Linked DNA regions of Rhinolophus ferrumequinum. The protein of the gene in region 1 purifies or fractionates together with the protein of each later gene. This does not show direct contact. Links are inferred from orthologs where the notes say so. Each region holds a gene or a part of one and is shown on either strand. Other genes may lie near its edges. The genes, in order: TSPYL1 and DDX24.

Region 1 (15,456 bases):
GGATAAAGATTATATGTTACTTCTATACAGTCTAGGACTTCAATTATATATTAACATTGAAGAAGTTGGCCCTGAAGGAAATGTCCTGATCATCTCTGACACCTCCTCTTGACCACATAAATCCCGTTTTCTTGTGTGTGTAACTGGTTTAGGTATGTGAGTATGCTAGAGAAGAAGAAACATCAAGGAATGGATACTCCCTCGATGAGACACTGAGTTCTTTGAGGGCAAGGAAAATCTTTACTATCTCATATAATCCTTAATATAGTATCCAATACAAAATAAGTAATAAATGCTGCAAGGTGCAATTGCTACACTAATTTTCAAAAAAAAATATGCTTCAAATGGTGGGTATTGAATTGACTTAATGGCAGTGATAGATTCAGATTTTTGTTTTCTGTCACTGGCCAATTGCTAAAATTTGTAGCCTATGTAACATATACTAAATAGTACATCAGCATAATTTTAATACAGTGTTTTCCTATACATTTTTGGCACCTTCTGTATTTAATGACTGAAATTATTGTCTTAGCTTTATGTATTCCTGTAAACCAAAAAGTACACATTTTATTCTCGAAAGATATGAAACTAGAGGTCCTAAATGTCGCTAGAGACTTATTAATCAATATAACTATCAGTGCCAATTTGGCACCCAGATCTACCTTGTTTATATCCAGAAGCATAGTTTTACACAGTACATTTTAGAAAGTACTGAGTATATCTTAGGTAGTCGAGAAGAAATTGATTAAAGACATTTCATTTTACCCTTTTTACCCACTGGCTTCTGGCTGTACTTTACCCATTGTGAATTTTGGCTAGATACCCTTGTCATAAAGTCACAAAAAATTTCATGGGGAGAAAGTAATAGCATGTTTAAATTTTACAGATATTTTTATATGCTTTGAGATATTCATCAAGAAGTCTAGAACCATGCTGTCCTATGTAATTTTAAATTTACTAGTAGCCACATTAAAAAAATGGATAAATAGGGAAAATTAATTCTAGTAATATATTTCATTTAACCCAATATATCAAAAATATTATTTCAATATGCAATCCATATAAAAATTGAGGTATTTTACATCCTTCTTTCCATACGAAGTCTTTGAAATCTAGTGTGTATTTTATATACTTACAGCAGATCTCAATTTGCACTGGTCACATTTCAAGTGCTCAATAGCCACTGGTGTAAGTCAGTGTAATAGTCCAGTGTAATAGTCACTACCTTAAGATGTACAAAAACAAATCACTTAAAAGTTGATCCAAAGTTAATGCTCTGTTAACATGGCAAGTAAAAGATGAAATGTTATATAGTGTTTGGACTTTTTCTAATTACTTAAACAAGAAATTTGTTTTTATTTAAGAAAGATTGCAAATTTTTTGCAAAGTTTTTACAAATTGTTTAAATTTAAAAAAACTTTTTTTTTGCAATTTTACAAATGCCTTGAAAACCGTTTTCTTCTTTTCATTACCTCATCAAAAGTCTTTCTGGGTACTGTGTTATTTTGTTTTTTCTCCATTTGAATTGTTCATTTTGTCATTCACTAAATATTTATCTGGTGACAACTATGTGCAAAACATTAAGCTAGATGTAGTAAAGAATGTAAAAATATCCCCCATCTTCTGCTTTCACAAAACTTCGTTTGAAACTAGAGTGAAAAACATAAGAAAGTATATCTTTGTATTTTATTTTACTGTGTCACTCTGTGTCAATTATTTGTTTGCCTATCAGTTTTTCCCCAGTTCTTTAACAATAAATGTAATGAACTTTATCTTCTTATACTTTTATCTTCCTGGGGCCTGGCAGAATACCTTCATATTCATGAAATTCACTGTAATAAATTACTATGTGTTATTTTCTAGAACAGAGGTTCACCAAGTACAGAAAACTTTACAAAGTACACCAAGTACATAATTTTTTTTTTTATCTTCCCTAAGGGGAAGAGAAAAACAATAAAGCAGAAAAGATATTTATGACAGGGCTTGAAGGATTTGACACAGAGATGGTGGTGAGGCTTGAAGAACAGAACAAGTTTTTAAAGCTGAGAAAGTATAGGATACAAGAATACATCACTTATGACAGGAACTCTCTGAATGTGAGCTTATTAAGTGCACAAGTGACTAAAAAGAGCCTGAATGACCTGAGGATATCTACACACATAGAAATGGAAGCTTTAAGGAAGTGAAAGGGGTGGTGATGCTGAACAAACTATGTGGAAAAAAGTGACATTATGAGTTTATGAGTGAGCTATTGCAGTTGTTGATATTTTAAAGCAAAAAAAAAAAAAAAGGCAACAACCCTCCCTACCTTGCAAGGTACAGTAGTGTGCTCTATTTTTTTTTTTTTTTTTACTTTTGGGAAAATGCTTGTTGTATCGATTTAAGAGCTTTACTAAATTCCATAATCTGTTATTTTCAATAATTTCTTTAAGCAAGTTTGTTGGCAGGGTGAAAAATGAGAAGTCTAACAGAGCAACATGCTTTTATTTTACCATCATGCATATAAGGAAAGACAAATATGCCAATGGTACACTTCCAATTTGACAGAGCAATCTCATAAGCATTTATGCTATTTAGGAAAAAAGAAACATCAATTACTAAATTGTTACCAGGGCAGATTATCAAGTAGGTTAATCAAACCACATATTTTCTGTAGGTTATTGTTCCATGAAGACAATTTCCAAAGTCTTCAGAATCTGACAATACCAAGTTATTCATATTTCTACGAATACAGTTTTGACAGAAACAAGAAAAAATTGAAAATCATTATGAATATTCATTTAAGTCTATCGTACTGGAAAGTCTGTTATTTTTCCAAATGTCCCCAATTGAAAGGAAAGAAAGCCTGTACAGCTCCACTTTCCCAGTAAGCAGAAACAGAGAAAATACAGGATTTTACTAAATACTAGTGAAATAAAGGACACAGTATTAATCTTCTGCATAAATTAAGTCAAACGAAAATAAGAGCAAGCACCCAAAGTTGTGTTAGTTTCTTTGAAAAACTCTTCTCTTGGCAACGTATTTAACACTCCAAGCCCCTTTAATTCTCCCATGGAAATCCTGAGAAAAAGTATTTCTCCTCCCATCACCACCAACAGAGAAAGAACCTTTCCTTGAAGGTTCTCAGCCAGCCACTCTGAATTTTAGGCCCAATTTTTACCTGGCTCATTTTTGCCTACGGTCTGTTGTTCAGTTTCCCCTGCTTAGGGCACTCCTCACAATCTCGTTAGTTCTTCCATCCATATGAACTAGGTATCACTTTTCATCCCATCTAGATCTGCCTCCCTTTAAGTCCTCTAAGTGTTGGAGGGGCCGGGGGCGGGAGAGAGAGCAGAGGGAAATAAGAGCTCTGGCAGTATATTTTACAGGAACTGTTGTCCCTGGAAATGATGGAAAAAGCCAATTTTTAATTGTTTTTTAATAGACAGGAGATAAACAGAAAATGTACTGATACTCTGACAGTCATGTTCAGGATGAGGAAAGGAGGCACCAAGAGGTACCTAGGTTTTGTGTGAATTCACTAGTTGAGGCTGAGAAAGCCTGGACACCATCCTTACTCGTCATGAGGTCAAGGTCTAACGTGACACCTCAACCACTTGCCTGACAGTAGGGTTCCTCAAGGGAAGAGGGGTGAAGAATTGAGAAGTCTTTCGGGTAGAGGAATGGAAGGGCTGGAAGGGAAACCTGTGCTGGCAGGAAACTTGGTCCACCACCAGTTCTGAAGATTCGGTTTACCAGAAACCAGACAGAGGAGCTGACAATGGTCTGGAAGATTTTCATTCAGTAGGGAGCAGCCAAAGGGGTTGGCACAGCTAGAAGCATGCAGCACTACATGACCAGAGGTGCAAGAAGAGCAATGGAGTCACGTAAATCACAAAGACCAAGTGACCCACTGCTGCTCTCCCTTGACATTAATGCCCCGCAATTGTCCACAGACTATCTACCTGCACTGCAGAGCAAAGTGGGTAGGATGGGCGCCTAGAAAAAGCTAGAATTATAGGTGGTAAGAGCCAGACCAGAGGCCCCGGGAACAACTAGCATCCAAGCAGTGCTGATAAAGGCAGTGCAATTGAGAGCATCATTCACTTGGCTGAGCAGTAGTGTGAATCATGGCCATGCAGCATGCGAGAGTAATGCAGAACAGTTTGAAGGCTGTGGAGAAGCATGGCCATGAAGGTCTCAATCTTGAGGTTGAGAGAACTAAATGTCCAGAGGAAAAAGCTTGCAGAAATGCCGGCGGGGAAAAAAGGTAGAAGGCATACCCATTTCTGTCACCCAAGCACAGGTCCAGCAAGAGGTGACAGGGGACCTTGTGCAAGAGTAGTCCCAAGGGCAAAGTTTAACCAGACTGGAACCCAAAGGGCCTGGGGATCTCCACTGGCTCCCTTATTGGGCGACGTCTGGCTCTACGGGCTCCTTCACGCAATAGGTAATACTGCAGTGGATTTGGCCATAGGTCCTCTTTAATAATCTCAGCAATCTTGTCAGACTCTGGAAGGCTGTGGTCTGAAAACCAGGTGAAGAAACTGCAAACGACATCTTGGTTCCTGCGAATGAAGGACTGGGGTTCGTGGCCCCGACGCCATATGATTGGCGTGGAAAGAGATACCACTCGGCCAGAGGCTCTGACCTCATATTCCTTGACAATCAGCTTGTTTCTGAAGTAGGGGTTTCTTCGAAAGAAGAACTTGAACTTGCAGCCAGTTCTCGGGTGTCTGAGTTCCTTCACCTCCAAATTGGTTATGTATCTTAACATCTCTGCATCTTGGCCCCTAATCATGGGGGACAACTGGGGATGGTTCCGAAAGGCAGTGACCCAGAAGCCCGGGATATTCTGGATGATGTAGTTCCTCCGCTCCAGATAGTGTCGACGCATCCGTCCAAATTTATGCTCCAGCTGCTGAAAGGCCCTGTCAGCCTGGGCATTGACAGTGTCCAGTTCCAGCTGGATGGCCTCCAGAGGGTTCATGCGGAGATCCATACTCAGGGGCCGCCGCGCTGCCTCCTCCGGCACCTCCGCCACCACTCTGTTTTCCTTCCCCACGTCTATGTCTTCACCTACCGGCTTCTCCTCTACCTCCATCTCCTCCTCCACTACGCCCTCCTCCTTCACTCCCGTCTCCTTCACCACCTCCTCATCCACTGATACTGAGAAGATGGTGTTCACTTCAGCCTTCCCTTCCTCGGCCTTCATCTCCGCCATCACCTCAGCCTCCAACCTCTCTGCGCCACAGGTTTCTAGGGCCTTCTCCGCACCTGGGCCACTCGGCTCTCCACGCTGACAGCCATTGTTCAGGCTGCGGTCCGTTGCCATGGACACAGACAAGGCTTCCGGGCCCAAGACCGGGGGCGGAGCTGCTTCTTTCCCCGCTTTGGTCGCTCGGTAACCGCAATCCCCACCAACTCCGATCTGGGGAGAATGGCCACAGCCCGCGGGGTCGTAGGGGGCTCCCCGCTCCTCTGGAAGCTGGGCCTGCGGGAGCACGCTGGCCTCCAAGCTTCCCTCACCCGTCTCCGCCATCACCTGTGACGCCTCGGTTTCCTCGCGGGGCTTCAGGCACTGGTGTGGGTCCGGGTCTCCTGGGGCACGGCCGGGAGGAGTGGGGCTGCGGGTCAGGAGGAGACCGGTCTTTTCGACCCCCTCCGGGCCGCTCATGTTGGTAGCAACCAGGCCAACGGTAGGTTAACGTCCGCTTTCCTCACAGAAACCCAGCTCGGCGAACACCGGTCGCTAGCACCACCCACCCTCTGGAGTCGCCCGCGTCTCCGTGAGGGTGACGTCAGTGCCGTTAATCTCACCGTAACGCGAGATTTCGCTGCCGCCGGGATTGGCTCCGCTGTTGCCTGCAGTCCCCGAGTGTTCTGTTAGTTTTACTTGTATGAATTGCTTCGCGGGGACAGAAAATTTGATTTATGTAAATAAATGTAGATTGGACTCAGAGTCCGAAGGCAGTGAGGACCCTCACTGCGAAGCGTCTGGAAACTGCCTCCAGCATATAAACTCGGATAGTTGTAGGGGTCACAGTACTACAGTGCAGACTTGCATAAAAACATGTTTTTCTGGTTTTCAGTATTTTTTTAGGCAGGAAGGTAAATCTATTCCCTGTTACTCCATAATGTCCAGGAGCAAAAATCTTCTCTATTTTTTTTTTTTAACGAAGATGAATTGCAAATTGTTTCCCTTTTCTCAAATAGAAGTGACATGAAAATATCGATTACAGCCTGTAACGTCATTGAGAGAAAAAGCTACTCAGCGGCTTTTTACCACTAAAGTGAGGCATATTATTCCTTGCTAGTACTAAATTTATAATCTGTATCAAAGAAGAGCTTGTGCTACATAATGTCTGCAGGAATTAATATAGGATCAATTTGCTACATTTTGCTCCATAGCCCCTTGCTGTGGGAAATAGAAAAGCTTTATTTCCGGCCCCAAAAACTATTGATCTATTAACAAACTTAGTTCTGCAAGGAGGTAGGAAAAGTTGGCTGTAATGAAGTGTATATTCATGGCAATCAGCTCATAGAGTTCATGGAAGAGTTATGTCAGTGTCTCCAGTTGACTTGCAAGGAAAGCGGGGTTAGCGAGTTACAAGGCCTCAGAGAAATACCGGTTGGCGGGAGCCACCTGCCACCATTTTATAAAGAAAAGCCACTTAAAATGGGTAACCAAATAATCATGAAGTAAAAAACAAAAGTGCATTTAGTTGACTTAAAGTGTAAAAGAGGCAAACTTTTTTTTTTTTTCTATTTGCTTTGCCTTGTGTGGTAGACTGAATAATGGCCCCCGGAGATGTCCACCTCCTAATCTTCAGAAACTTGAATATATTATCTTACGTGGTAAAAGGGACTTTGTAGTTATGATTAGCTTAAAGATCTAAGATTATCCTGGATTATCTGGGTTGACCTTATAAGAAGGAGGCTGGCGTACAAGTCTAAAAAGAGATGATCACCAAAGCAGAGATGAGAGAGAGAGAGAGAGATTTGAAGATGCTATGCTGCTGCCTTTAATAATGGCGGAAGGAACCAGGATCCAAGGCAAAAATGCAGCCTCTACATTCTGGAAAGGTAAGGAAGTAGATTCTCCCAAAGAGCCTCCAAAAAAATGCAGCCCTGGCAACACCTTGACCTTATGATGCCTAACCTTCAGCTCCATAGGATAATTAATTTGTGTAGGTTTAAGTTATGAAGCTTGTGGTAATTTGTTACAGAGCAATATGAAATGAGTACTTCTTGGGTTGAGCTTTTGTGTTGCATTTATGTGTACCTCAAGTTTTTCCTAGCAGCACCCCTTCACTCTTGCCCATTGCTTCCTCTGAGGTCCTGCCCAACAGCTTGATTTATCATGTTTTGAGTCTGTTTTTGGTTATCGAGATCAGAAATCTACTTAGACAATACACAGATAAAATTAAAGCCAAAACCCACCACAAAAGTGGGTTTTGAGAAGACCCCAAACTCCAGGAGGACAGGGCCTTGTTTTTGTTTACCACTGTTCACCAAGTGCCTGGCATGCGGCCTTGCACGGTGTTGCATAGATTATTAAAATGGTAAATAAAGGAACAAGTGAACAGCATGCAGTTTCTTCTGCCTCAGCTTGGTGCTTGCAGAAGTAAGGAGCACGCAGATTGTCATCCTGCTTTTCTCCCTATCTGCCACCAGGAAACCAGAGGACTGCTCTGCTATCTGCAGGAAGGAAGCCCTAGTCAAATGAATTTCTACATATGCATCAAAGCCTATGAAAGCATAAAACAAAAAAACAAAAAACAGGAAAAATTTTGTTTTACAAATAATTTACATTTATGTGACCACACCATATGACAAACTCTGAAAGGCTGACATATTTAGGTGAATTTACATGGTAAAGCCTCAAACTACCAACACTGTATTTCCAATTCTTCTCTCCTTTCTGAACAAGCCAACGTAATGGATCCAGGCTTTACTTCATTTCTCTTTGCAAGAAATGGATATAGATCCTGTGATGCATGGCTGAAATTATTTAATATAGATAAGAATAAATAATGGAATTGCTTCTGAGGCCCACTTCTTTCTAATTGCCATGAAATAATTTATCCTAAATCTTAGAACTGGAGTAATTTAATTTGGGCTAAAGTGGAAACTTTTATTACTCTAATATGCCTTCTATTTGTAAGCAGAAAACAGTGCCAGTCTTTGACCAATCCTAGAAGATGTGGCTTTATTTGTCACAGTCACCATTATGATGTCTGTAAGCATAATTAGTGCTCTAACTGGTAATGTTAGAAAAGACTCCAGTGATAGATGGTACATGTAAATGTAATCAGGACTCTGGTGAGCGTAATTTCCCAGGTAGTGTTGAGACACTTCTTTCTCTTGTCCTTCTCTTACTAGATAATTTAATTGAATATATACAGAAAATGAGGAAACTTATTTCTTCCAATTTTCATTATCTGAAAATCACAGTAGATTATAACTCTTCATTATAGATGATGGATAGCCTAGGTTATGATCACTTTTGAATAAGTGATCACTTTTAAATAAGAGAAGGGCCAGCAAGAACCAAGGATTTAGAGGGAAAAGCAGATATGTGTTTTCTATGCTATTTCTTTTTTTAAAGAACAAATTTTTGCTTTTAAGAAGGAACCCTATAGAATTTCAGCCTGCATCAAGTCTCATGTGCTCAAAGAGCTGTTTTGCCATGCAGGGCAAAAATATGATTGCCACAGAAATTTGTACTTGTAATAGTAGGGCCATTACTTGTGGAAGTTTTCCTGAACCTGAAGTCTTGAATGTGCATCTCTTTCACATGACACAGGTTATCCTGCTATCTGAAACATTCTCTTTTTAGGCAGATACCATTCTCTAAGACCCCACCACAAACCTATATCGCTTTAGAATGTGCTTGGCATTTAACATGCATTAAAGTGTCAAATTTTTCAAAAGACGAAACAATAACTCTGAGAAGTTAACCAGGTCATCCATATAATAGCTGCTACATTCCCCCAGCCTTCTCCTAGGCATAACAACTCATTAATCTTCCTCTTCTGAATTCCTACAACTCTTTTATGAGCTGTGCCATGCAATTTAGTGCTTAATTATAGTCTTCCTCTTAGTGACTCTGATTTTTCATATATTTCAGTGTCATCATCCCAGCATCTTCCCAAGGGATAAGAGTACAGTGCTTCTTCTTTTGTATTTACTCAGCATAGCCTGGAGCTGAGATTTTGGTAGATCCTTAATGATATTTGTTGATCTGAAAAAAATAAAGTCTTAAATGATCTTACAAAAACCAATAGTGTGTCTATATTGGCATAGCATTTTACTTGGTGGGAGAATATATTTTGGCTATACTTCATATATTACCCTTTTGCACTTTGAAATGAAAGATACATTAGTATATTACACAGCATTTCTGTGGCAATTGGCAATAAACCTCATTACCCAAAAGATAGTCTAATCTTTTCTAAGATGATTTTATGAGAAAACATTCACAAAACCATGAAGTTATTCTCCACCATGTCAAGAAATCATAGATTCTTCAGGAATAATTGCTCAGGTAGTAAGGAGTTTAGCAGAAGTTCAGACAATTTTGTTTTGCAGAAAGATATATTTTATGGTTATAATTAATGATAGATTTCATGTATTTACTGCTTCTGATGTACCAATCACTGTTGTAAATTGTTCCAAGTATTGTATCATTTAGTTCTCATGAGAACTTTGAGGTAATGCTACTATGACCTTCATTTTACTCATCAGGGAACTGAGGCAAAGAAAGAATTAGACACTTACTCAAAATGATATACAAAAATGACACATTTGAAATCCAGCTAGTTTGGCTCAAGAACTCATGCTTTCTGTACAAAATGAAGTCACTGTCTTAAAATAGCATAAAACTATCCTCACTTAATGTTAAATTAATACACATTTTTTTTGCCGCCTCTCCCATTCTATCCACAAGCATATTAATATTTGTTAGGAAAAGTGCCCAAGGATTTGCTTTCTGTTTAGAGGAAAAACATTTACTCATGATCCCTAAATTCAGTATTTTCTAAACCCTATCAGACCCAATGTCATCTTTTTATAATAGATATTTTCTAAAACAGTCTTTACTTTCTTGAAATGAAATTCATAGATAAAACAACCACCTATACACATAAATAGAAAAACATCAATATAATGACTTGATTCTGATATAACAGAGAAATAAAAGTAATTTATAACAGTGTCTGTTTTAATATGTAAGGGCATTAACATACCTACACTATAAGAAATAACAGAGTAGTTAGAAAGTTACACCTGTTGGTATAATCACCAAGACTGACAGGTAGGTTTTACTTGTGGCTCAGATACCATGACTAGCATTACTCTTAGTGATGAGATTTTCTGAATTGGTGACCAAATCTTGGTTAAGTTTTAGAAAAGAAAAAGGAAAAGTTCTCATCAATTGCCACGACTCTATTTCTTCCTTTGTAAGAAATACATTTTCTAGTTTGATGTAATGCTACATGTTTATTTTTTCTCTTACTTCCCTTTCCTGAGGGGATATATCAGTAAAAATCTTATTCCGGGTAATGTCTGTTAACTTTCTTCCCATATTTTCTTCTAGGAGTTTTATGGTTTCAGATCTTACATTTAAATCTTTAATCCATTTTGAATTTATTCTCGTATATGGTGTAAGGAGGTGGTTCAGCTTCATTTTTTTGCATGTGTCTGTCCAAGTTTCCCAGCACCATTTATTGAATAGACTGTCGTTACCCCACCATAAATTCTTGCTTCCATTGTCGTAGATTAAATGACCATATAGGCATGGATTTATTTTGGGCTCTCTATTCTGTCCCATTGATATATGTGTCTGTTTTTATGCCAATACCATGCTGTTTTGATTACTGTAGCCTTGTAGTATAATTTGTTATCAGGTATCGTGATACCTCCCACTTTGTTCTTATTTCTCAAGATTGCCGAGGCTATCCGGGGTCTTTTATGGTTCCATATAAATTTTAGGATTATATGTTCTATTTCTGTGAAACATGTCTTTGGTAGTTTGATAGGAATTGTGTTGAATCTCTGTATTGCCTTAGGCAGTATGGACATTTTAATGATATTAATTCTTCCTATCCATGAGCATGGTATGTGTTTCCATCTATTTGTATCTTCTTTAATTTCTCTCTTCAGTGTCTTATAATTTTCTGAGTACAGATCTTTGATAACTGCACTGTACACCTGAAGCTGAAGCTGAACAATAATCAATGTCAGCTATAATTATATATATATATATATATATATATATATAGTTGCAAGAAGTAGAGTACAACATTAGGAATAGAGACAGTGGAAATGTAATGGCTGTATGCGATGTCAAAGGGGTAGTGGATTGGGGGAGGGGGTTATCACTGTGTGAGGGATATAAATGATGAATGTCTAACTATTACATTATTTTGTACACCTGAAACTAACAAAAAAATAAATAAAAAAGAAATTAAAAAAATAAAAAAAGAAATTAAAAAAAAAAAGAAATAGGGGCTGGCCCGGTGGCTCGGGCGGTTGGAGCTCCGTGCTCCTAACTCCAGAAGGCTGCCGGTTCGATTCCCACAGCCAGTTCAACTCCTCGACTCCCGCAAGGGATGGTCGGCAGCTCCCCCTGCAACTAAGCTTGAACATGGCACTTTGAGCTGAGCTGCCGCTGAGCTCCCGGATGGCTCAGTTGGTTGGAGCACTCCTCTCAGCCACAAGGTTGCCGGTTTCGACTCCGCAAGGGATGGTGGGCTGCGCCCCCTGCAACTAGCAATGGCAACTGGACCTGGAGCTGAGCTGCGCCCTCCACAACTAAGACTGAAAGGACAACAACTTGACTTGGAAAAAAAGTCCTGGAAGTATACACTGTTCCCCCAATAAAGCCCTGTTCCCCTTCCCCAATAAAATTCTTAAAAAAAAAAAAATTTTTTTCATTTTCACATTTCTGAAATCAGAATGTCTTTCAAGCACTGTCAGCCAGGTGTTAGTCATGACATGTTTGTTGAGCACATGTGATCTGGGTTATTGTTACCGATTTCATTTCTGGACAAACTGTTTAAAGACCATCTGAAGAAGGGATATAACTACCGGTTGTTGTCTGAAAACTTTCCATTGATGTCTTTGAAAGGCTCAAAAAGTACCATCATCAAAACATGTAATTGGTGTCAGTGGGTTTGAAGAAAATTCTAGATACAAGAGTTGAGCACTGTGTTAAGAAATATAGCATCATCAAAATACTTGATAGCAAAGAGAAAAATACTATTTGAAAAAACATGAATATTGACAACTCTGAGTCAAAAACTGTTTCTGAAAATTTACTGGATATGAAGAAGTTTTGGAAATACTTAAAAAATTATTTTCCTTTTGTTTTTTCCCCTTAAGTATGTGCAAGTGTGCTATTTGATTTACGTCTAAATAAGTGTACAAGAGCTCTTTAAATAAAGATAAATAAAATTATGTATAAGAATGCCTTGTGTCATAGTTTAATTGGCAATTTCCTTTTTTTTTCTTGGTAATATTTAAGTAATACTATGTTTACAACTGATGATGTCTTAAATTAGATGAAATTCATATAGTTTCTTTCCTGGAAAATTCATTGTGTAGTAAAAGAGTGCAAACATATTGTGTTTTTATATGTAAAATTATGTTACATTCCAAGCTCAGATAAATAAAAGTAGGTTTTTCCTCTCAGAAGTGGGGCAAGTTTTTGTTGATACGGACTTCCTGCATAATATCTAGCATCCGAAACCCCATCTCGTGAAAGCCAATACTTGGTGAGTATGGTATTCCCAGCGATTTTCACTAGAGGGAGCAAGCGGTCTAAGAAAGTAATATGTCTAGTCTGATGGAAGAACTTTGGAATCGTCTTTCACTATAAATGAAATACTCGTATAATTTAAATTAAATCACAATCTTTTATTCCCACTAAGCTGTAATTGTTAAAAAGTAGTTTTCTCAAACAGGTTTAGGTTTGTTATGACGGCTTCCAATAATCAAATCAGGCCAAAGTATCTCAAATGACCCTGCACAATCTGACAAGGTGTCTGCCTGTGTAGACTGGAGTCGTAGACCTGGTTTCAAGTTTGAGCTATGCCATTTATTACCTGTTTGACCTGAGGAAGTCATATCATCCCTCCGAGCCACAATTTCCTCAAAGGTATAATATAATAGAGATTATAATACATACTTGACAGGCCTATTAAGAAGATGAAATAAGATATGTGTAAAGTGTTTAGCACTATAAACTTTCAATGAGTAGAAGCTGGTAGTATTATTTATATTGTTTTATGCTAAAACATACATTAAAATTAAACTATTGTACAAGGTATAGTCAGGCACTATATTTAATTATAAAACAGTTAAGTGTTTGGGAGTTCAGAGGAAGACATCCATGTGGATTAGAGTGGTCAGCGAAAGCTTCATGGAAGAAACGAGCCTTGACTTGTATCCTACTATGGGTAAGAGTTGAATAGCTTGAGAAATGGGTGGGGCATGAAGACACAGCAGTCATACTTCTCCACTGCTCCTGCTATTTTAAGACACATTCTAGACCTGCACTATCCAATATAACCACATGTGGCTATTTAAACTAAAGTAAATGAAATGAAAATTTCAGTTCATCAGTCACACTGACCACATTTCAAGTGCTCAGTAGCAGCATCTGGCTAGTGGCTACTGTGGACAGCATACATTTCATCGTGGCAGAACGTTCTACGAGACAATGCCGTTCTAGACATAATAGTATCTTCAGGTGGTGGGTAAAAGGGAACTTGCTAGAACTAAAATGCCGTACCACAGACATAGCAGGCCATTATTAATAAGGGTAGTAAGGGAAAATTTTACTTAATTAAAATTAGTGTTTTCAGTTAGCATTTCTTGAGCAAAAATTGTGTGTTTATAATTGGGAATAAGTACACTAGAAGTACTTATCTACTGGCTCACATAATATCAAAAGAATAATTCAAATGTTATTTTTTTACTATAAAAATTATAGATTTAAAATAATTTTCAAATGTTTCTGAGCCATTACCCCTCAGAGAGAAGCAGCTAAATGAGTCAAGTTTGAGAAGTGTTAGTTGAAAAATTGTGTAATTACATTAGTCATTTAAATAATCAATGAAATCTATGCTTACTGGGACAAACCTCTACTGTATTTTTAGTAAGGTAAAATAATTTAAAATAAAATGAAAATAAAGTATGTGAAACAATTAATGAAAATGATTACATAAATTTTTAAAAGTCAGTGTGAATCATAGTGATTTGTTTGGTACAATACCAAAAATTAACAGTCAAGCCATTTAGTAAACTTGATTTTTATATTTGAAAGCATCTCAACATCCTAAGGTTAAGAAATTTCATACAAGAGCAAATGTTTCTTTGCGTTTTCTAGATAGTATGATGTTTAGATGAGTAGTAGATAAACCCTTTAACAGTATTCCTGTGAAATTTGTGTTTTCACTGTTCATTAAAAATCCAGAGCTTGTATATAATTGTACAAAAATATCAGTACTTTTTTTTTGTGTGTGAGTATAGTTCCAAGGTCAAAGAACCTTCTTAGAACAACTAGACTTTCATGATAAAAAGCAGCCCTCTTGTTTTAAACCAAATTTTATCAAAGTCATTTACTACTTTCCACATAAAAATTAGTTTAATATGAAAAGTTCATACTATGTTATCTAACTTGATGCTTTGGTATCATAACTCTTCGTCCATTAGCTAAGAACTCTGCCTTGTGAATTCTTTGGCTTTAAGACTGCATTACAATTTCCTTTGGTTTGTAAGCAAGCCGTTCTATGCACCTGTTTTAAAAATGTGAAAGGTCGATTTGGAACGAGACCGTCATTCATTTGTTTGATCATTAATAGAAATTATCTCATCCCCTCTATGACATAGATAGAATTTGCCATATTGTAAAGATAGGAAATCTCAAAGAGGTCAAATGACTTGCCTAAAGTTACACAGCTAGTAAGTAATGGAATGTGGATATAAACTCAGTTTGCCTGACTTCAAGTCTCTTTCTGCTATGTCCTGTTGCTTTTCTGATTTCTTGAAAACCTTGACAGTAATAGGGGAACTCAAGGACTGCTGTCTCTGTCCTGATAACTTTTTTTTCCAGGGTTTGTATCTTCACTGCCCATCAGCCAGAAGATTCTTGTGCACTGTTGACTGCACTGATTGAATGATTGCACACTGAAGGCTGACTTCTACAGCCATGAGAACTTGAACGTATTAATCTAAACAGACCGTATGGCTTTTAAGAGACGAGTGTCCTCAGTGGAAGCATTTATTAAATGTGGGACAGATTTAAGAAACAATACCTCTTGCTACTGCTGATATTTCTAACTTAACAACATTTCCAGATTTTCAGACTTGGGGTTCAGAGATTTCATTTGCTGATGAATGAACTCAAGGGTAAAAGAGCTCTAGCAAATAAATAAGCCATTCGTTTTTACTGTACTATATTGAGGAAGA
Region 2 (14,815 bases), on another chromosome or scaffold:
TTGGAGAACTGAAAAAAATAATTGATAATCTAGAATTCTACACTCAGCAAAAATCTTTTTGAAAACAAATGCGAAATAAAAACTTTTTTAGGTGTACAAAGCTGAAATAATTTATTGCCAGTAGACCTGGACTATAAGAAATATTAAAGGAGGGGCCAGCACGGTGGCTCAGGTGGTTGGAGCACTGTGTACCTATCACCAAGGTTGCAAGTTCGATTCCCACATGGGCCAGTGAGCTGCACTCTCTACAGCTAAGATTGTGAACAACTCTCCCTGGAGCTGGGCTGCCTTGAGCAGCTGGAGGTTGGCGTGAGCTGCCGCGGGCTGCTGTGTGCTGCCATGAGCGACCTGTGGCCAGCGTGAGCGGCCGGCAGCCGGCGAGAGCTGCTGTGAGCTGCTGTGAGCACTGACCGACGACTGGCGACCAACTGCCTGAGCCGGGGGGAGCGCAAAGCTCATAACACCAGCATGGGCCAGGGAGCTGTGTCCTACACAACTAGACTGAGAAACAACGGCTTGAACTGGAGTTGGGGGGGACGTGGAAGGGGGCGGAAATACTAAAGGAAGTCTTTCATGCAAAAGAAATGATGGAGTCAGATGAAAATTTGGATCAACAAAAAGGAATAAAGAGTACCAGAAATGGTAACATGGGTAAATACAAAAGATGTGTTTTTCCTAGTTACCACTTAAAGCAAAAACAATAAAAATGTATTTTGGGATTTCTAACACATAAAGTATAAAACAAAAAGCCCAGAGGAGAGGATAAACGGAAACATACTCTTGTAAGGTTCTCGCACTACATGTAAAATAGTACATTATCACTCGAAGGTAGAATATGACACATGAAACATATATACTGTGAACTCAAAAGCAACTACTACAAGGACATAACAAAGAGTTATAGCTAACAACACAATATAAATAGATAAAATGATATCACAAAAAATATTTAATCCAAAAGAAGGCAGAAGAAGAGGAAAAATATTAACAGACATTAAGTGAAGACTTACTGTACTGGTATTTTCAATAACATGGTTGAACCTCAAAGTTATGCCGATCGAAAGAACAGATACCTATATTCCCAAAATACATATGATTCCAATATATAAAATTCTGGAAAATGTAATCTACCGTTGTGGGGACAGAGCCCCAAAAAGCAGTTTCCAGGCTCTCGGCCTCACATAGAAAGGTGCTGGCTCAGGTAGTAAATGGCCATCAACTGTGATCAAATGGCCATCAGCTGTGGCTAGTTGGCCGTCAGCTGTAACCAGTGAGCCATTGGCCACGAATATAACTGCCGTGGCTACGCTAGCAGCAAGTGGGGCCTAGCAAGAAGATGGTGGCTGAGTCTGCAAGCGGCGCAGTGAGGGTTGAGAATTGTGTGGCTCCTGGTCCCTGTGTCTCCAACCCAGCCGCCAGCGAGAGTATAGTGGTGTGACTCCCCTACCTATGGCTCCGTGGGTGTTCCTGTTTGGCCTCACCATGTCCTGCGTTCTTGTGTGGGGAGCGGGAGCAGAGACCCCGCAGGCCCCCCCGCAGGACAATCGTGATAGGAAAATCTATCAGAGGTTGCCTGAGGACGAAAAGGAGAGAGGCCAGGGAAAGAAAGATTACGAAGGGGCTGAAAGCATCCTGTGCGGGTCAGGGGTATATTTATTATCTACATGGGCAGCAGTTCGTCCACAGCCCCAAGTCTTTTTGAACCTTGGACCTGCACACTCACAACAATCCATGCGGAGGCCTGACAGGAGCTGTGGTACGAATCCCAAGGTCAGATTCTAGCCACAGTGGCTCACACAGCCTTGCCTCCGCCTTCCAGAACCTACCTCCAGGCTTCTGCACATATCAAAGCAGTGTAGCAGAATGCTTAACGACCCGGCACTACGACTTTCAGCTGTGCAGTTTCAGGGATGCTGCCTATCCTCCGTGAGCCAGAGTTTCCACATCAGTAAGATGGGAATAATAATAGAATCCACCTCAGGGGGGCTGAGAACTGAGTTCATCAATATAATGCACTTAACACGGCGCATGATGCATTTTAAATGCTAAGTAAATGTTCTAAGTTGTTATTATTACCTCCATTCCCCTTTCTTGGAGTTTCCTGACTCTTCCATCTCTGTGACTCTCATGTACGATCTCACCCCAAGTTTCCTGACCACTCTTCTAGAAACCCAAGGCACCAAGTGTCCAGATGGTTTAGTCCTATGCCATACAAGTAGTAGCCATTAGCCACATATAGCTATTGAGCACTTAAAATGTGGTTACTCTAAATTGAGAGGTGCTGTTAAGTTCAAAATACATGAGATTTTTAAAACTTAGTATAAAAGAATGTAAAGAATGTAATTTTACATTAATTACATATTGAAATATTTTATATAATTGGTTAAATACATTGTAAAAATTAATTTTCACCTATTACTTTTCACCTTTCTAATACAGCTCCTAGGAAATTTAAAATTACATCTGTGGCTCACTGGCACTGAAATATACATTTCTATTAGTTACTGCTGGTCTAGCTGGACTAATAGTTCCAGGCAGTACAAGCCACTCCCCCTAGTCAGCAGTTTAGTCCACCCAGGGAGACTCAACCTGTCTTGCTTCACAAAGTCTTAGATGGCCCAGGGAATAAGGGAACTTTAAACAATGCCTAGTCCCAACAATCACCTGATGCCCAAATCTGCCTACAAAATCCACCCAATAGTTATTTATCACACATTCAAATCCTTCCAATGACAATAAACTCACCAACTCCCAAAGCAGCCCTTTTTATCTTCGGACAACAGTTGAGAGTTGGACACTTATTCCTTATACTAATGAAGATCTACCTCTCCAGAGGGCTGATCTTAGCCCTGGTTTACCCCTCTGAGCCATTTAAAAAAGGCCCAAGAACAGGAAGAAAACCATTTGCAGATCACTCACAATGTACTGTGGAAATTTCAGTTTGCTGTAGCATTTACATTTAACCGACACAGCAAAAGAAGTAGGTATTGTTATCTCCATTTCATAATAGTGCCTATACGACACACAGAGATAAAGTGACCTGCCTAGGGTACCAATTAGGAAATGGCAGATTTCAACCCAGAGCTGGCTGGCTTCTAAAACACCTTCATTTACCATTGCTTCGGCCTCTCTCCCCAGCCATCCAGCCTGTTAGCAGCCACAGGCTCAATCCAGAAGCAATCTTGCCCTGGCCAGATAAGGGTGCCCTTACCTGTCTCAGCAGCACCAAGGATGTCCAGTTTGTCACGGATGGCAGGTGCCAAGGTCAGAGCTTGGATTGGTGTGGGTGCAGAGAAGCCCAGAAAGCTGAGTGCTCGGAGAACTGGCTTGGGTACAAACAGGTCCTTCCAAGCTGATATGTCTGCCTTGTGGTCATGCACTTCAGGTATCCACGTCTTTGCTTTCTTCGGCACGTTTGGAGTACTACCCTGAGAAGGTTCTGATTTTTTTTTCCCTTGCTTTTTCTTCTTTTTTGGAATAGCCTGGGCTGGGCTTTCTGATGCCATCTCCCCTATCTCTGGATCAGAACAAACTGTACCATCTCCCAGGGGCTCTGGCTCAGCATCTTTGACCTGAAAGTCTTTCTGGGCATTGGTTCCTTCAGTTTCCACATTTTTACTCTTTTTCAACTTTATCTTTTTCTTTGAGGAGCTAGAATCTCCTTCCTCCTCTCCTTCTGAAACAGCTTGTGCCTTTCTCTTCTTGGGCTCCTCCTTTGAGAAGAGACTGGAGGAATTCTTGGCAGGAGAGACCAACTGGTAATCTGTCAGTTCCTCAAAGCACACCAGGTCATCCATCTGTCCATCTGCAAACATATTTGGGTCAATCTTCACCTGCTTCCATTTTCCCACAACCTTAATTCCCTTTGTCTGAAATTTGCCATAGCTTGGTGCCTTTGACCTTGATTTGGTGTCCTTCAACTTCATGGTTGCTGAAAAGGAGAGAGGTGTTCGATTAGACTGGCAACTGAAAAGCATTGGATTCTGACGCAACAAGTATTTTCTAAGCAGCCTACAGGATATCAGACCCTGCAAAGATGGCTCTGAACACTGATGCTCCCAGCTAGAGCTGATGCTCCCAGCTAGAGAAGATCAAAAAAGGAAAGAAATACACCCACAAATCAGATAGCTTGGCCTCGAACAGAATAGAGAGCAAAGACTTATGAGCTAGATGGGGTTTGAATTCCATATCCAATACTTAACTGCTTGTGTTCCCTTGGGAAACCCTGCTTAATCCTCTTTGAACCTCAGTGTTCTCATCTCTTTGAGAGAAGGAGGGGCCTAATAATACCTAAGTCACAAAATGTTTTAGAAAAATAAATAAAATTATGGAAAGCATGGAGGATAAAGGCTGCGATACCCAAGCCACATGGAAGGCAGAGTGAGAATTTGGGTTTTTTTTTGTTTTTTTTTTCAGGGGTGGGCGTTGAGGGCGGCTGAGGAGGCCAGCTTTATCCAAAGTGAACAGAGCTTTCTCCTCCTCAAGTCTTGCCCCAAGAACATCTAAATGCCTGCGCCACCATTCTGGCCTTTGCCAAATGGCTTAAAGCCCATCCATCCCGTACAGCTTTTTCATTACATTGTAAGTGATTTAAAAACCATTTCAGCAGTAGCACAGTTCGAGTGGAACTGGATCCTTGTTCTCCCCTTTCAGAAAGGTTAAGAAAAATAACAGACCCTGTGAGAAAGACAAAGGTGAACGAACCGTCGTTCAAAGCCGGCCCATCACTCGCCAACTCTGAGTCTGTGGCGAATGTACTGATTTCTCTGCGCCTGTGTCCTCGTCTGTAAAACGCAGGTGATGAGGCTCTGTCTCCGGGCACGCTTACGCTAATACAAAAAGGTGACGCACGTCAAAAACCGCTCAGCATGGCGCCTCGCAGGCTGAGCACGCCGGCACGCAGGAAGGTTCACCCAGCGAACCTCACCGCCCCAAGTACCAACGACTGGAGTTCAGTGATGAGAGGCACTGGGGATGGTCACGCACATGGGCGGGACGCGGAGGGCGACCTGCAGAGCGCGACCTGCAGAGCAAGCGGGGCCCCTGCTCGCAGCGTCCAGCCCTGTGACTGGCCCTAGCGCCTCCGCTCACGCATAAACAGGCGCACGGAGCGGGAAAGACGAGGCCTCCGAGCCCCGAGACCCACAGAAGGGGACCCGGCGCAGGGTCGACAGGCTGCTTGACCGGGCCGGCAGCCGCCTCTCTGGACTTGAGAACCCAGTGAGCTGAAGAGGCCCGACATGGGCGCCGAGGAGCCCGCCCCCAGCTCCTTTCGGGTACCGGCCCCAGGCCCCCGCTCCAGCACCGGTACTCACAGTGAGCACACGCCGCTACGGCTCCCACAGACGCCGGCAGGACAACCGCCTTACAAAACGCCACAGCTCTTCCTCGGCTGCAGCGCCGACCGCAGTTCCGGGGCGGGGCTTATACTCGCGCACGCGGGCGCGGTGCGGCAGGATGTCCCGCCCCCACTCTAGACGCCGCCACCTGATTCGCTGCCGCTCGACCGCGGACTTGTGCAGTGCGGTAGTGCACCGCCCTGGGGGCAGTAAATCTGGCTTCGCCGGCGATGGCCCTCCCTGGATTACGCAGCAGGGGGAAGGCTCTGTGCTACATCCAGAAGGGCTCTACGCTAGTTCACGCACGGAAACGTAAGCATTCTTGTGTTCTTGGTCTAGTTTTAGTGCAGTGACTGTCGACGTGTTAAACCTACTGTATGCCTGGGGCCTTGCAAAATTTCAGCATTTAATTTACAACCCAACCAGCCTATGTTGGAGGTGCCATTTTCCGCAATTTTTTCATGCCTCTCCTATTGCTCAATGATGGTTAGGGTAGGTCCGCCTGACTTTAAAGCCCAGGCTTTAATCACCAAGCTAAACTGGCTGCTTTGTTACATGCAGAGAAATTAGCTTTACAATAGATAATCACCTTTTCATGTGGGTGTCGCGGGACCATCTGGGGAACCTTTCTCATAGACTGCTTGGTGACCTTGGAAAGTCCTAAAGGACAATGGGGGAATTCACCAAGTGCAGATCTAGTGAGCCTCCCCACCAGCTTGGAGCCACCATGGGACAGAGCTTAACACATTTCTTGGGGCAACTTGACAGTGTGTCCCCAAGAGTCTGGGTAGCATAGAGCCTGTGCCCAAGTGGTGCCTGAAGAAATCTGATAACGGGAACGGAGCAGTCCTCAATGGGAGAGTGAGAAGGAAGGGCCGCATGACCCCCCTCATGGCAGGTTAAATGTTCCTGTCTCCTCTGGGCCAGTTACACACCTTGGAGGGGGAGCCCTGGTCATTCATTAACCTTTTGCACTGACAGTTGGGCTGTTCTAAAGGGATTAACCCTGTGGCTTGGACAATGGGAAACAGAGGGATAGATGACTATGAATAAGCCTTTGTGGGATCACGATACGTGGAAAGACATTTGGGTCCTTACTGTTTTCCATGTCTTGGCTCATAAAGCACTGACACTGCCTGGCAATCAGGAAGCTGATGCCCTAGCTCAGAGACGAGCGCTAGCAACTAACCCTTCAGTAAATATAGCACATTGAATATATAGAGTGGCCATTGCATTGCCTGGGTGGGGGGCACATTGCCAGGGTTGCCAGATTGCCCTTGAAATACAGTGACTTGGTTAATGCAGTAGCAGCACGTCCTCTGTGTTCTAAACAACTCCCAAGGCAACTACCAAAGGAGTCTGCGGCCATCCACCAGAATTCCCAACCAATGCAAAATTAGCAAATTGATTATATTAGCTCTCTCCCTGTGGGTGAGGGTTCTAAATATGCCTTGGTTTGTGTGGACATCTCCTCTGACTTAACCCAAGCTTTCTCCTGTTGCCATGCAAACCAGGCGGCCACCATTAGAGGATTAGAGAAACTGAGTATTATATATGGTGCATTGGGATGTGTTGAGATTAGATTATCCTGTAGACCAGCCCACACTCCCCCAATCCTCACATTTGCAAGGCAAAGGTTAGGTCTACCAGCCTAGATTAAGAATGATTCATTTGTCTCATTTGCCACGTGGGTGGGACGTCATCCAGGGTGGAACTATATATGCCTGCTGGAGTCATCAGGAGCCATACTACACACAGGATTTCCAAAACTGCAATTACCTCAAGGTAGGCAGGGGCCCGGGAAATGGGGAAGGGAGGGAGCACCAGGACTCCACTCATAGCATCCCTCTTTGCTGCCATTCAGAGCTGCTGTCACTGTGACTAGAGGTGAGTGTGCTGGGAAGGGGTTTGAGCCCACATTTACCCCGCGACTTTGGGAGCAACCGGGCTTGTCCCAACCCAGGATTTTGTCAAGCCCTAAGACTTAGGCTGGGTATGGGGCAATAGTCAGGGGACAGAGGTGACATATTAGAGATGAATAGAATCCTGGAGATCAGGGAGCCAAAGTCCTTAACTGAAAAAGCTGCAGTCTGTGCAGATTTGGGGGGGGGGGTGCTGGGAGTGGCCCACAGACTGCTATAGGACAGAGGGGCCAGGGCTCAGGGCAATGGAGAGGTGTCCCCATCCATACCACAATCCATCACAAATCAGGCACAGCTCTTCTGGTTTTCACACACCCTTTCTGGGAAAAATAGTGGTAACTCTAGGCTGTGTACCTAGTGTGCTCACACTGCCTCTGAGATGTCAGCTAAAGCCATAGAGAATGAAGGACTTGCTGCTGATGCCCTCCTGCAGGAGTTTCAGTCAGATGGTGAGTGCTCTCAGGGAAGCTCTGGAAGGTAAGGTGGCCCAGGGCCTGGGGGCCATGGCCCTAGGCAGAGGAGGTCTGGGTTCTAGCCTGGAGCTGCTACTAAGGTGCATTGTATCTGAGGAAGTCTCTTCCATCTTGGGCCTCAGCCTACCCCTTGGTGAAGTGAGGGACCTGCCCGCTCTCAGTTGGTGGTCAGGTCTCCCTCTCTCTGTTTTGTACCTGGGTTCATCTCCAAATGTTCCTATTACCTCAGCACTGCTGTCACTGATGTCCCATTCCCACATCGGAGTTCTCGCGAGCATCAGGAAATGTCAGAAGGTGCTTTGTGGGGCCTCTGGGCCTCTGCCCTCCTCGGGGCCCGGGGGCCTCGACCTCTGGTCTCACAGCTACCCGCCCCCTCTCTGTGCCCCCACCCCGCTTCTTTTCCAGAGGAAGATGAATCCCCCCAGTCATCCTCTGCTGGTTCTACTCCTGGGAGGCCACCACAGGGGCCCCCTCCGGGGCCAGATGGACATGGCTCTGACTCCACAGACCCACCACCCAAAGATGGAGGCAGGAATTTCTCCCGCACTGCAGGTAACTGGTCCCTGGGCACCAGTCCACCAGACGTCACCTCACCCTCACTGCTCAGCTCAGTCTTCTAAGTTGTCAGCATTCACGTACCAGTCCCCGATGGACCCTCTACTACACCCACATTGTCAGAAGAGGGGCGCGGTGTACACGGGAGATGACGTACATGAAGCTCTAGAGTCAGAGGGACTACACTTCAGGCCCTGGCTCTGCTGCTGACTTGCTGGGTAACCCAGAACCAGTCATGAGCCCTCTCTGGGCCTTGATCGGTTTGTTCCAAAGTGCAGGGATAGGGGTATGTCACTCTCCGAGGTCCCCCAGTGCCAGGTCACATCAATTAAGTGGTACAGAGCCCAGTCACACTGGCCTTAGGCTCCTGGGCAGCTAGCAGGCTCATGCTCAGGCCCCGCTCTTTGCCCGTTCAAGTTCCCTGTCACTGCCCTGACCTGTTGGCCCACAGCACCCAAGGCCTGAGTGAGTTTCGTTTCTCCAGTCCTGTTCCTCCTTGATGCCCCAGGGCCTGGTTGCTCATTTACTCTGATGATAAGCCCTTACGGAGCAGTCTCGTCTCTAGGGTGGGGCCAGCCCAGGAACGGGGCAGGAAAAGGTGCACTCTATTTTTTTTTTAATTGTGACAAAATAACATTTACCAACTTGACCACTTAGAAGTGTACAGTCCTGTAGTGTTAGGAGGTATATTTGCCTTATTGTGCGACCAACCTCCAGAACTCTTCATCTCACAGAAACGAACTCTACACATTAAACAAGACCTCTCCATTCCGTCCTCCCCCACCCAGCCCCTGGCAACCGCCATTCTACTTTCTGTCTCTATGAATTTGACTCCACTGGGGACCTCTTATAAGTGGTGTTGACATAAGAAACGTCCAAACCTGTAGAGACTTTTTATAAGAGTTTGTTTGAGTCAAACCGACGACATATGCTAGGGAGCAAAATCTCAAATGCTCTAGAGCAGGGGTGTCCAAACTGCGGCCCGCGGGCCAACTGCAGCCCGCAATCCATTTTTAATTGGCCCCCAGCAAATTCCAAAAATATATTGAGTTTGCTTAAATAAACCAGGTGAGGCAATACGTACTTCACCTCAAGCTGTTTGTGTATTTTACCGCCCTTGGTAAAAAACGTTGAAAAAAGTTTGACATCCCTGCTCTAGAGAATAAGTTTTGCAGCTTCTTTTATACATTTGAGATTAAGGAAGGGCCATAAGGACAATTACATGGAGGTGGGAGATAGCAAGGCGGGGATTGGATTACAGGGTAGTTGACAAGATCTCTGGAGGGTGGTTATTTCAAAGGTCTGTTAACCGAGATGCATAGAAACAATGAACAGCGCTTGCTTAAGACAAAAATAAGCCTTTTACTAAAAAGTTATAGGCCTGGGTGTGACTACCCACCATGACCTGCCCAGTTAGGAATGTGTGATCAGGTCACCGCATGAGATTTTTTTCCACGGAATCCCTTTTTTTCTACGGAATCTTACAGCATGTATCTTTTTGTGACTGGTTTATTTCACTTAGCACAATGTCTCCAAGGTTCAGAATTTCCTTCCTCTTTAAGACTGAATAATAGTCCATTGTATGTGGATACCACATCTTGTTTATCCGTTCATCCGTCTTTGGACCCTTGATTTGCTTCCACCTCTTGGCTATTATGAATAATGCTGCTGTGAACGGGGGTGTAGGTATCGCTTTAAGACCCTGCTTTCAATTCCTTTAGGAATATATCCAGAAGTGGGTTTGCCGGATATATAGTATTCTATTTTTAATTTTTTGAGAAACTGCTGTACTGTTTTCCATGCTGCTGCATCATTTTGTATTCCTACCATCAGTGCATAAGAGTTCCGGTTTTTCCACATCCTAGCCAACACTTGTTATTATCTGTTTTTTTTTTTATAGTATCCGTACTAATGTGCATGAAATGATACCTCATTGTGATTTTGATTTGTTTTTCCCTAATGATTAGGGCTTTTGAGCGTCTTTTCATGTTTATTGGCCATTTCTATATCTTCTTTGGAGAAATGTCTATTTGAATTCTTTGCCCATTTTTCTTTCTTTTTTTTATTTGTTGTTTTCTGGGTTTTTGTTTGTTTTTTTTCTTTATTCTTTGGTCTCTTTGCCCATTTTTAAATTGAGTTATTTGAGTATTTTGTGGTAGGAATTTGTTATATATTGTGATTAATAACCCTTATCAGACATATGATTTGCAAATGTTTTCTCCCATTCTGTAGCTTGCCTTTGCGCTCTGTTGATTGTCTCCTCTCCTAGTCCGTTTGGGCTGCTATAACAAAGTGCCATACACTGGTGGCTAATAAACAGCAGAAATTTAGTTTTCACAGTTCTGGAGGGTGGAAAGGCTACGATCAAGATACAGGCAGATTAGTGTCTGGTGAAAGAGCCTGTTTTCTAATAGGCATCTTTGCTCTGGAACCTCACGTGGTGGAAGGAATGAGGGGGCCTCTCTGGAGCCTCTTTTATAAGAGCACTAATCCCTATCATGAGGGCTGTGTCCTCATGAGCTACTCACCTCCCAGAGGCCCTACTTCTAACTCCATCATCTTGGGCATTAGATGTCAACATACTCATTTTGAGAACACAAAATTTCAGACCATAGCAGGTCCCTTAATGCACAGAGGTATACTCTTGATCCATACTTCTTTTTCTGAAATAATCAGCACCTTCTTGCTCAGAGGCCTGTGCCTGCCACTGGGGTAGGCAGCAGTGACTGAGGCTTGGCCCTTGACCTTAGTTCAAAATCCAGCAGAGGAGACGGAGAACGGCCTTACCTTGTGGGAGATTCTGTGGCAGAAAAGAGTCCTGGAAATCTGCCTGGATTTGGCATCCCAAAGGGCAGGGAATGGCTTCTATTCGTTTCCTAGGACAGAAGCATAGCAGTGAGCTTGAGGAGAAAAGCAGAAGCCAGCCCCCTCATCCTCGTTAAAGAGGTGGGTGTTTGTGGGCCACAGGGAGCGTGCAGGGGTTTCAACACCATAGCTGCTCCCTGTACCCCAGCAGCCAACAAGATACGTCTCATGCTGTGTGGGGTCCATGTCCCTGATTGTGGACGGGAAGAGGTGAATTGACTAGGGTGGCAATGGTGCAGGCATTAGGAGTGATCAGATTCTGGACACGTATGAAAGGTGAAATCAGCAGGAATTGCTAACAGACTGGATGTGGAGTGAGATAAAATGAGAGGAGTGTAGGATGACTTCTAGGTTTTGGCTGCTGAGAGAACAGCTCCGGGCTGAATGGAAACTCAGGAGCCAGAGCAGAGGCAGGGGATTATTGCAGTAATCCTTGGGAGAGATGTGGGTGGCTTGGCCCATCATGGCAGAGGCAGAGGTATAAAGAATGGTCAGACTGGATATTTTTGAAGGTGATACAGTAGGATTTGCTGATAGATTGGTGTGGAGAGAGGGTAACTAGGAAAAATCGACTCCTGGCTGCTTGTCCGGAGCTGCTGAAAGAATGGGACTGTGTTTCACTGAGCCTGGATGGCCGTTGGAGGAACAGCTTTGGGAGGGAAATAATAGTCCAGCTTTTGACATGTTATGTTTGAGGTGCTTCTCAGATACCTCAGTGGACATGCTGAGTAGGTCTGGGCTGGACGTATCAATTTGCAAGTCGTCAGAATACAGATGGTCCTGAAAGCCACGTGGTTGGGTGAAGTTACCCAAGGAATGGACCTAAAGCAGAGAAGGGGTCTGAGGACTGAACCCCAGACATGTCAGCGTTCATCAGAGATCAGGGAGAGGAGATGAAAGGAGACCGAGAAGGAGAGGCAAGTGTGGCAGGAACGGAAGTGAGAAAGGGTAATTTCCTGAAGGCCAGGTGAGGAAAGTGTTCCAGAGGCCAGCTGTAAACAAACTGGGCAGCTTAAAACAATAGAAATTTATTCTCCCACAGTTCTGGAGTCTAGAAATCCAAAATCAAGGTGTCCACAGGGCCATGTTTCTTCTGAAGGCTCAAGGGGAGAACCTATCCCATGCCTCTTCCAGCTTCTGGTGGCTGCCAGAAATCCTTGATGTTCCATGGTTTGTGGCTGCATCACTCCAGCCTGTCTCCATTTTCACATGGTCTTCTCCCTTGTATATCGGGTGCCTAACCGCAGTGCCATACTGCCTCTCCCTCAATGTAGAAAACTATTGCAAGGAGCCTTGCCATAAGGAATGGATCAACGTGAGATGGCGACTGGAGGAAGACAAGGCACAGGGGGAGGGGCTGCCTTTGTTTTCCCGGTGTGGGACGGTGGAGTCTGGCTGGATCCTCTTGGGAATGGTCTAAGACAGAGGGCGACGGTAATGGTGCAGAAGCGAGGGGGGAGCCCTGCAGGAAGGAGTTGGAGAGAGCAGGTAGGCCCCGTGCACAGTGGCCAGCAGCAGGCACTGTGCAGCACAGAAGCAGGAGGGCAGGGGGAGTGAGAGAGCAGGGGTGGAGGGACCATAGGCAAGCTCTCTTCTGCTGCCTTCATTTTTATAGCGAAATAGGAAGTTGGTGAAGCAAGAGTGGGGAGGTGCAGTAGGTTTGAAAATCTGGGAGAAGTTGGGAATTCTGGATACTCAGAGAGTTGGGGAGTAAAGAGAGAGGGGTTGAGCCCAAGACAGGAAGAGGGAGAGAGTTGAAGGGTCTGCAAAGGGCACTTGTGATGAGTGGGTGTGGAATCCACATGGGCCTGGAGGGCAGGGAGGACTTGGGAGGAAGGAGGGACAGTGTTGTGGGTTATACTGTGTCCCCCCAAAGAGATAGGTTTCAGTCCAAATCCCTAGTACTTGTGCATGTGACTGTAGATGTAATTAAGATGTAAATTGAGATGAGGTCACATGGGAGTAGGGTGAGCCCTTAATCTAAAATGACTGGTGTCCTTAGAAGAAGAGGAGACACACAGGGAGAAGGCCATGTGAGGCTGGAGACAGACACTGGGGTGCCGCAGCCCCCAGAAACTAGGAAGAGGGAAAGAAGGACCCTCCCCTAGAGCCTTCAGAGGGCACGGCCCTGCCAATACCTTGAGTTTGGACTTCCGGCCTCCAGAACTAGAATATGAGAGAATATACACCCAGCTGGTAGTCATTGGTTTCAGCAGCCATAGAAAACTAATACAGATATTGAAAATGCCAATATGACTGAAGAGTTGTTCACGGCTGTGTTAGAGTCCGAATCTGTAAAGGGAGGAGGTGGGGGTTTCCGGGGGGCGCTGGATGGTGATAAAAGGGAGGGGACAGTTTTTGTCAGTAACAAGGTCTAGGGCACCACGGTCCATGAGAACGTTCTGCAGCGTTGAGCACATTTTCTGTGCCATCCAGTGTGGTGGCCACTAGCCACATGTGATGGGTGAGCCCTGGAGATGTGGCTAGTGAGACTCAGGAGCGGAGTTTTTAATTGTACTTAATTTTAATTGACTAAGGTTTGAATAGCCAGATGTGGCTAGTCGTTGCCGTAGTGGGTGCAGGGGCCTAGGGTATGACCATGTGGGATATAGAGACCAGATTTTTGGAAGTGAGGGAGTGAAGGCCCAGTTTGTTGGAAATACCATCTCTGCTGAAACTGAACTCAACAAGGCAGGTCAGGAGGAGTAGAGAGGTGATGATGAGCCAGGAGCTGCTATCTTCGAGAAATGACTGGGCATGCTCTGGAGGCCGGACGCTGGTTTCACACCTTCTCTCCCTTGACTGGGACCAAGATGGCTTTTTGTGGGAGCCGGCGGAGCTGACTCCTGCAGGCCCTGAGATCTCCAGAGCTCCTGGTCTCAGTTGCCCAAACACTGCAGTCCCTCCCTGCCCCCATCAGATGTCCCTGCCAGCCCCAGGAACTCGGAGCAATTCAGTCCGGTTCTGGTGTCCTCCGCCCAGTGCTGCAAGGGGCTCCCGCCACAAGGCAGGGCACGCCGAGGAGGCAGGGTGACCTCAGATGGTGGGATTGGTGCTCCCTGCAGAAGGTGACACGTAGGGTGAGCCCTGGCGGATAGCGGGCTTGCGCGCCAACCTCTTCTGCCTGAAAGAGGGAGAGAACAGACGATTTGATTAATTCCATTGCAAAGAAAAACAGCATGTTTTTCTTGCTTTTTTAAATTTTTTTTTTTTTCGAGAACATAACATCAAATGTATTGGCTCCAAAGAGCAGCGTGGAGCCTTTTCAAGGTGGTGTGCTTCCCCATGTGGCATGTCACAGAGCTCTGGATATTCTCCATCCACCTCTGCGTGCTCAGTAAACCAGACTGCTTTGGAAAAGCAGGCAGGGGCCACTCTCTCCTCTGATCCCAGCTCCAGAGCACCCTTCCCACTGTGGGTAGCAGTGGGTAACAGGGCCAGTGCGGTGTGCTCACACACGTTCTTTTTGTCTCTAGCCATAGTTGCTGCAGGCGTGACCACAGGAGGTGAGTCTCTCTGGGAAGGAGCTCAAGCCCCCATCTGCCCTGGGCCTCTGAGAGCAGCGGGCCTTGACCAAGCCCAGAATTCCCTCGCGCCCCAAGATGTGGGTGGGTGGGAGTGGAGTGGGCAGGGGACAGAAGCGGAGTGCTTGAGATGAACC

The links.
Region 2: the proteins of TSPYL1 (region 1) and DDX24 purify together in Homo sapiens (affinity purification with mass spectrometry; 3 studies listed by BioGRID and IntAct, counting the BioPlex papers as one, with this or other methods). This does not show direct contact. The link is inferred for Rhinolophus ferrumequinum from reciprocal best matches to the Homo sapiens genes TSPYL1 and DDX24.

Annotation. Positions count from the first base shown.
Region 1 is NC_046286.1:67,196,822-67,212,277, forward strand, and holds TSPYL1 (testis-specific Y-encoded-like protein 1), read right to left. Parts: upstream 5,766-15,456; 5' UTR 5,657-5,765; coding exon 4,340-5,656; 3' UTR 2,464-4,339; downstream 1-2,463.
Region 2 is NC_046289.1:9,009,797-9,024,611, reverse strand, and holds the start of DDX24 (ATP-dependent RNA helicase DDX24), read right to left. Parts: upstream 5,459-14,815; 5' UTR 5,316-5,458; intron 3,932-5,315; 5' UTR 3,927-3,931; coding exon 3,212-3,926; intron 1-3,211. Other genes in the region: interferon alpha-inducible protein 27-like protein 2, read left to right, coding at 5,570-5,651, 7,047-7,124, 8,140-8,286, 14,631-14,660. UniProt on the Homo sapiens protein: ATP-dependent RNA helicase that plays a role in various aspects of RNA metabolism including pre-mRNA splicing and is thereby involved in different biological processes such as cell cycle regulation or innate immunity.